2 linked regions of the Xenopus tropicalis genome follow. Each later gene encodes a partner of the first gene's protein in a complex. Links are inferred from orthologs where the notes say so. Each region holds a gene or a part of one and is shown on either strand. Other genes may lie near its edges.

What was found.
Region 2: cdc45 (region 1) and mcm4 share a complex: the UniProt entries of both Homo sapiens proteins name them as parts of the CMG helicase complex. The link is inferred for Xenopus tropicalis from reciprocal best matches to the Homo sapiens genes CDC45 and MCM4.

What each region holds. Positions count from the first base shown.
Region 1 is NC_030677.2:154,230,174-154,234,635, forward strand, and holds the start of cdc45 (cell division control protein 45 homolog), read left to right. Parts: upstream 1-1,596; 5' UTR 1,597-1,710; coding exon 1,711-1,761; intron 1,762-1,844; coding exon 1,845-1,904; intron 1,905-4,462. Other genes in the region: ufd1 (ubiquitin fusion degradation protein 1 homolog), read right to left, coding at 858-990, 1,362-1,364. UniProt on the Homo sapiens protein: Required for initiation of chromosomal DNA replication. Core component of CDC45-MCM-GINS (CMG) helicase, the molecular machine that unwinds template DNA during replication, and around which the replisome is built.
Region 2 is NC_030682.2:113,245,029-113,248,853, forward strand, and holds part of mcm4 (DNA replication licensing factor mcm4), read left to right. Parts: intron 1-225; coding exon 226-485; intron 486-917; coding exon 918-1,283; intron 1,284-1,729; coding exon 1,730-1,857; intron 1,858-2,555; coding exon 2,556-2,763; intron 2,764-3,799; coding exon 3,800-3,825. UniProt on the Homo sapiens protein: Acts as a component of the MCM2-7 complex (MCM complex) which is the replicative helicase essential for 'once per cell cycle' DNA replication initiation and elongation in eukaryotic cells.

The sequences.
Region 1 (4,462 bases):
AAAAAGTGTATGTTTGCTTCAGAAACACTACTACAAGTTATATGAAGTATATGGCACAACCAAAAGAATAGGGTAAAAAGGCACACATCTACACAGCAGAGTACAATGGTGCTGTTTTTACACAGCATAATAAACATGGGTCAAATGCCATTCATTCTTTCTACAGAACAATTGATTGAAAACCTCTTATATAATATAGAACCTATAATACTTAATGCTCAGGACCAGGGGTTTTTCCTGTACAAGCGGTCATTGTGTAATTTGGATCTTCATGCCTTAAGTCTGCTCAAAATGTATTTAAACATAATATACCAAATAGGATTGTTTTGTCTCTAATAAGGTTTGATTATATCCTAGTTGGGATTTAGTACAAGTACTGATTTATTACAGAGAAAAAGGAAATTATTTTCTTAAATTTTAATTATTTAATTAAAATGCAGCCTATGGGCCTTGCCGTAATTTAGAGCTTTCTGGATAACAGGTTTCCGGATAACGGATCACATACCTGTACTGGATATGTGTGGCCAAGAATTACCATTGTGTCCACTTTCCACATCCTGTACAGTTTGCATGATGGTACATGATGATAACAGAGATCTCATGACCTGTGACCAGGCCTGGACTGGCAATGTGTGGATTCTGGCAAATTCCAAAAGGACTGCTGTTAGATGCCATAGACAAGCACTATTTAGTGAACTAGCAGGGGCCTTGAAATGCAAGGGCATATATTAAATCCCAGTCTGCTTGTGGCCCACAAAAAAGTGGTCTAGTTTATGATTATTAGATATTATTACCTATGTTTAAATAATTTTATCTTGAAAAAATTACAGTACAGCTCTTAGTCACATATTACTTACTTTTCCCTCCTTTCTCCACATCAGATCGGTCATTGGGACCCGCCAACATGGAAACGGAGTAGCAACGGTACTGAGTAGAGAAGCGGTTTTGGAAAACCCGGGGTATGGGGTGGTCAAACATGTTGAAAGAAAACTAAAAGAGAATGGAATTAGTGAGATTTTGGAGCTGTTATTTCATTAAGCAACATAAAGATACATCGTGATAATTTGAGAAATTCTTTTTTACTTTGTTTTTACCCTTTTAGTGTTATTTAAGTGATCTGTAAAAACAAAAACTATTACGGAAACATACATTCAGATTAAAATCATACTGTTATTTTTCATGTAAAAAAAATCTTACATACAACAACTCTTCTTTCCCATCCAAGATGCATATAGCAGTAAAAAACTAACCCCTCAGTCACTGTTCAGCCTCCATAAAACCTGGCAGGTAAATGGTGTTTTATGATGATATATAGGTATACATGACATGACGCTATCACAAATGTGGAAGACAGATCTTACCATTTTGTTACCGGCTTTCTCTTATTATCCCGGCGGACCTAACACTATCTTAGTCACCGTCCTTCCCGGAAGTAAATATAATTGCGAATCAGACGATCGGAACAAGAGAAACTACGAATCCCAAGAAGCAACACGCTAAAAGCGGAAGTTAATAGACCGCTGTCAGATATCGGGAAGCGACCAATTGGCTGCTAAACTGTAGGACGCAGAGGCGGGGTTTATCTTGCGCTGAGCCTTCACGGATTGGGCGGGGTTGGTGTATGTCACGACGAAACGGGCTGTTTGATTGGCCACCGCTGCTCTAAGGGATTTTGGCGCCAGTTTCGAGGGCAGCCGTCAACTTGTCGAGATGTTTGTGAGTGATCTCCGTAAAGAGTTTTACGACGTGATCGTTACCGAGGTGAGAAGGGTAACCGGGATAAAGGATTTTTTTTCCCAAATAAATGATATGACACCACTCACTGTCTCTTCTCTGATTTCCAGCGCGTTCTTCTCCTTGTTGCACCTGATGTTGATGCTCTCTGCGCCTGTAAGGTACTTCAGGTAAGAACAAACCAAAATTAAGTTTTTTTTCAACAATTTAAATCACCATACCTACTTAAAACAACATGTAACTATGAAATAAAGCCAATAGGATTGCTTTATCACTAACAAGTTTTTATGCAGCTTAGTTGCTGTAAAGTACAAGATACTGTTTTATTACAGAGAAAATGTAATTAAAAAAAAAGATTTTGCATAAAATTGACAATGGGAGATTTCTGCATATCTGGTTTCCATTAAACTCACAGTGCCCCTTGCACAGATCCGACAGTATAAACACTTCATCCCCACATATAAAGCTGGTCATACCACCTAGTTTGCCAAATGAGTGGATCTTTGTCCCATATGTCACAGCACCACACTGATTGTTAGGCCTTCGACCAATGATTGGATCATAATGGCTGCTAATGCAGGCTGTTGGGAGAGGTCCACATCAATACGTATGTGGTGCTCTTCCCAATGGGTTTTTTTTTTTTTCTACACTGCCTAATATGTTGGCCAGGTAAATATCAGGGATGAAGTCGGAGAGGACCCATGTACCGGTAAATACAACTTATTTTATTTCCCACCAGATAATGTGCATGGTACCAACAGTGTTGCAGCTCTTGAACCATTTAGGGTCTGCTACTAAAACACTGTTACTAAAACAATGTAAAGTGTACTAGTGAGTATAAGTTACCAATGATAGAAAAACCTAGAAAGAAGGATAAATATTTCATTTCTGAAATCTGAACACTTGCCCCAAGTTGGTTCTATTATTCCTCCATCTCCAGCCTTTTGCCCAAATGAAAACATTTTATAGTGTAAAATTCTTGTGAAAGTTTTGCATTTGCTACATATAAATAGTGCATCTGTGTAATGGTGGATACTATGATTTAACTTTTATTTTTACCATAACTACGTAGTCATATTTTTTGGTTTTGGTCAAATGCACCTTAGAAGTTTAGTCCAAACCCTTATTAGCACATTTACAAAATATTGCAACAATTGTGAACAAATATTTGTTCTATTCAATTGTCCAGAGTGGTAATGTGCTTGGTCTTAAATTTTCCAATTCTTCCCCCTTTATTAAAGGAACAGTAACACTAAAAAATGAAAGAGCTTTAAAGTAATAAAAATATAATGCACTGTTGCCCTGCAATGGTAAAACTGGTGTGTTTGCTACAGTAACACTACTATAATTTATATAATAAGCTGCTGTGTAGTCATGGGGGCAGCCATTCAAGCTGTAAAAAAGGAGAAAAGGCACAGGTTACATAGCAGATAACAGATAAGTTCTGTAGAATACAATAGTGTTTTATCTGTTATCTGCTATGTGCCTGTGCCTTTTCTCCTTTGAATGGCTGCCCCCATGGCTACATAGCAGCTTATTTATATAAATTATAGTAGTCTTTCTAAAGTAAACACACAACTTTTACCAGTGCAGGGCAGCAGCACATTATATTTTAGTTACTTTTATACACTTTCATTTTTTGGTGTTACTGTTCCTTTAACTCAAACTGCCCTATCACCTTGGCTGATATCATAACATCGGGCAGTGTGCTCTAGAAACACTATCCCATCAAAGATGAAGACCAGGTTTCTAGAGCCCAGCTGCTGGACAGTGATAACCTGCACTTGAAGTAGTGAGCCATTTTTTGGGCCAAACCAGCTCTTTAAAGTCATGTGATTTTAATAACCATTTAGTTTAGGGGAATTAAAAAATCTGCAAACAGTGCTAGGATAATCCAAAATCCTGGATTTGGTGCATGCCTCTCCTTAATGCATTAAAGGTACCTGCCATTTAAAAATCTAGCACCAAAAAAGCATAAAATATGTAGTCTTAGCACTTTAAATATAGGCTGAAAACTGTTGATTTTTCTTAGTGAACTGGTAGACTATTTAGCATTTTTAAGAAATTTAAAAATGTCTAAAAAGTAGTTTTGTTTTTTTTTTCTCATTTTAAGTGTATGCTGGCCAAATTACCCACCAAGTAAACCCATCATTTGATACACCCTGGGTGTACTAGTAAAGGGCAAACAAGTGCAAGATCATTTGTATTATACGACTAGTCACAAATGTTTAAAGTATTCTGGATGCATGGACATTAATTGATGTTTTAGGAGTTTTCTTTAAAGGACATGTAAACCCCACGCACAAACAGCCTCTTAGAAATCTTTTTTTAATACCTGTCACACTGGTTGTCCAGAGGTTAATAGAAAGGCTGCAGCATCCCATTAATCACTTAGATTTCCTTCTCCTCCTGTAACCCACTCAGCCCCCTCCCTCAGAGATTTGCTTTGACTTCTGGCTTGTGGGCATGCTCAGTTGTTCTAAGCTCCGATTACCAAACACGCTCTCCAGTCTAGCAGCCAATGAAGAGATGGCATTTCTGGGTCCCATAGAAGCTCAGGTCTAGCTGTCTGCTTCAATGTTTTTCTTCTAACCTCCTGTCCTGAGCTCAGCTTAAACAAAGCAGAACTTTTATCGAAGACAGTTCTGCCTGTGTGAGCCTGTATTCTTTATGAAATGTATGCTGAATTCGGGTCTGTGTGTGTATGTTTGCAGATATAAATGTATTT
Region 2 (3,825 bases), on another chromosome or scaffold:
GGTGCTGACTATCAAGGACTTGTTACATAGACTTCATATTTTTGGCTTTCTTCATGTTATGCTGGGCAACCTAGAAAGCAGAAGAAAAAGATGTTCTACTAAAGCAAAATAATCACATTTGTGTTGAGTACTAACTAGCAAGCAGTTTGTTTTAACAGCACTAAACTGCTTGGTCACAGTGGAAATAACTAATTATTTAGCAACTTCAATGTTTTATTTCTCCAGGTATTTACAGAGCTGTCCCAATTCGAGTTAACCCTAGAGTTCGAAATGTAAAGTCTGTTTACAAAACTCACATTGATGTTATTCATTACCGAAAAACTGATGCAAAGCGGTTGCATGGTATTGATGAGGACACAGAACAGAAGATGTTCACTGAAGAAAGGGTTGCAATGTTAAAAGAACTTGCAGCAAAACCAGACATCTATGAGAGGCTTGCTTCAGCTCTTGCACCAAGTATATATGAGCATGAAGATATTAAAAAGGTATAACTTCTGTCTTTGTGGTTGGGAAATTAGGAGATAATTTTGGTGCACACAATCAGGTGGCGGTCAATAAAACCATAATACTCTTGAGCATTTTATATTAACTTGTAATATCACCTTCTAAAGACATAGGCACATGACATGAGCGTTTTTTTATATAAGTTGCTTAACTTGCATGCAGTGGGTAGAGGCGGCTGTTCCACCACTTGAAAAAGGAGGTTTTGTAATATATGAACCCAAGACAGTGTGTGAGAATCCTTGTGTAATTAATTGCTATGAATAAGAAAAGTTAAATTATACCGGCAGTATTTCAGTTCTATGGCTGTGTGAGACTGTATTAATGTCTTATAGGCAGCAGAGTAACTTTGACCTCAAATGATACTTGAGGAGGTTTTTTTTTTTTTTTTTTAACAAAATTTTTATATTTTTTAGGGAATTTTGCTTCAGTTGTTTGGTGGAACACGGAAAGACTTCAGTCATACCGGAAGAGGCAAATTCCGTGCTGAAGTAAACATACTTCTGTGTGGTGATCCAGGAACCAGTAAATCTCAGCTTCTCCAATATGTATACAATTTGGTACCTAGAGGCCAGTACACCTCTGGAAAGGGATCTAGTGCGGTTGGATTAACCGCATACGTGATGAAGGATCCAGAAACGCGGCAGTTGGTACTGCAGACAGGTGCATTAGTTCTCAGTGACAATGGCATTTGCTGCATTGATGAATTTGACAAAATGAATGAGAGCACTAGATCTGTGCTACATGAAGTAATGGAACAGCAGACTCTCTCCATTGCAAAGGTAAAGTCTAACAAGTATATAAATCAAACATGCAAATATCTTTTGACATTGTAGCATTATAATTCTGTATTTAAAGACATGCTATTTTTTTTTTTTTTTTTTTACACCCAACTCTCTCACCTCACTTTTTTAGTTTAGAGCCAAGTGCTGTTATTCATGGACACCTAAGGGCTGCTCTGTCAATCACTACTGTGAACAGTTATTAGTAAAAAGAAAAAGCTTTGGCTTATCGTGCTCAGTCATATGCTGTTTTGTGGTGTTGTGTACAATGTTGCCATGCATAAATGTTTAATATACTGTTCTCTATAGAAATCTACACTTACCATCCTGTAAAAGTGCTTTTAAACACAAATTATTATATTGCCTTTTTTTTTTTTTTTTTTTTTTTTTTAAATTGGCACTATTTTTACATTTTATACATTAAAAGTAAATGGTCTCTCTTGCAGGCCGGAATAATATGTCAGCTGAATGCCCGTACATCTGTTTTGGCTGCTGCAAACCCAGTGGAGTCACAATGGAATCCCAAGAAAACCACTATTGAAAACATCCAGCTTCCACATACGCTCTTATCAAGGTGTGTTCTTTGTTTCTTTTTTTTTTTTTTCTTTCCCCTTAAAGGAACAGTAACACAAAAAAATGAAAGCTTTAAAGTAATAAAAATATAATCCACTGGTAAAATTGGTGTTTGCTACAGTAACACTACTATAATTTATATAATAAGCTGCTGTGTAGCCCTGGGGGCAGCCATTCAAGCTGGGAAAAAAGGAGAAAAGCCACAGGTTACATAGCAGATAACAGATAAGTTCTGTAGAATACAATAGTGCTTTATCTGTTATCTGCTATATTCCTGTGCCTTTTCTCCTTTGAATGGCTGCCTCCATGGCTACATAGCAGCTTATTTATATAAATTATAGTAGACTTTCTGAAGTAAACACACAACTTTTACCAGTGCAGGGCAGCAGCACATTATATTTTAGTTACTTTTATACACTTTCATTTGTTGGTGTTACTGTTCCTTTAACCCAGCTGAAACATGTATTGCTGCTAAGGGTAAGACCCTACAAGGTGGATTGTTAGACTGTATAAGTGCTGGCTGGAAATCTGCCCGTATACTTGAAAAATCTAATAGTGTTTGCACGTGGAAGCATTGATTCCTATATAAAATCTTTTTACTGATGGAGCCTAAATCGGCCCTAGATCTGCAGACCAGAATAGGAATCATGCAATGTAACCTTTTGTGTTAACTTGTCATTAACTTAATGCTGCTTTTAGGTTTGATCTAATATTTTTGATGCTGGATCCACAAGATGAAACCTATGACCGCCGCCTAGCCCACCACCTTGTGGCTTTGTACTACCAGAGTGAGGAGCAGATGAAAGAAGAGCATTTGGACATGGCAGTTTTAAAGGATTATATAGCATATGCTCGGACTTATGTCAATCCAAGACTTGGTGAAGAAGCAAGTCAAGCTCTAATAGAGGTACATAAATAACCTAAACGAATGTGCTCAAACATTCTCCAAACAAACATAATTAAGTTCAGTGTATTGACTTTAGTCGCCTTTATTTATTGGAGCTCCCCCATAGATCCTGGTTTGTGTTTGTTTAAAATGGGTGGTGGGGGCATCTTAGTTTACCTACACCAAAAAGAATAATAGGTTGTGGGTAGCCAATAGCAGATCTGTTCTTTACACCGGTAAAGGTGCACTGCAATTTCCTCTCAGATCTGAGCTGTTGGTTGCCTGCTCCCAACATAAGGATTGCTTTGCACTATACAAACCTGCTAAACAATCTGGAAAAGCAGCCAAAAAAAAAATTTGAAATGGCAGTACAAGAGTCCATTATTAAAGGCTCAAGTCTACACTTTTTAGAGTTAAATAAGGCAAAAGCAAATAGCAGTCTATACTATGGGGCAGATTTATCAACATTTTTATTTTTGCGGTTTTAGGTTTTTAAAACCAAAAATAAGCTTATTTCCACTAAAACCACAAATGGCTTGTCCTTTATTAAAAGATCTGAATTGAAAAAGTAGGAACAAATTAAAATGCAAAATGAAAACAAAAAACCTAAAAAACCACAATTTAAAGATTTACCATTTGCCGAGGACAACTCCCATTGACTTCTACATGACCTAAACACATATTAGATGAAGATTTGTATTTGTGTTTTTCGTGGTTTTATCACATAATAAATGCCTAAAATGAAAAAAAGTTAGTAAATGGGGCCCCTATATGTACGGCTTTTTTAAGGCCACTGTTTTATGCTGCATAGTGTTTAATATAGGATTGAAATATTGTTTGTTTTTTTAAAAAAAAAATATATTTTTTAGGAAAAACATACTTATACATGCATGCAATAATTTGTTTACCCTTTAGTCAAGCAAAAAAAAAAAACATTGATCAAAGGAGGATGTGTTGATCAGTTGATATAAAAACTTACAAAGTGTTACTGTTCTGTTTGTCCATAATTTTATTTTTCTAGCATTTTATAGTTGTTCCTCTTCCATTTTTTTTGTAGGCTTATGTAGACATGAGGAAAATTGG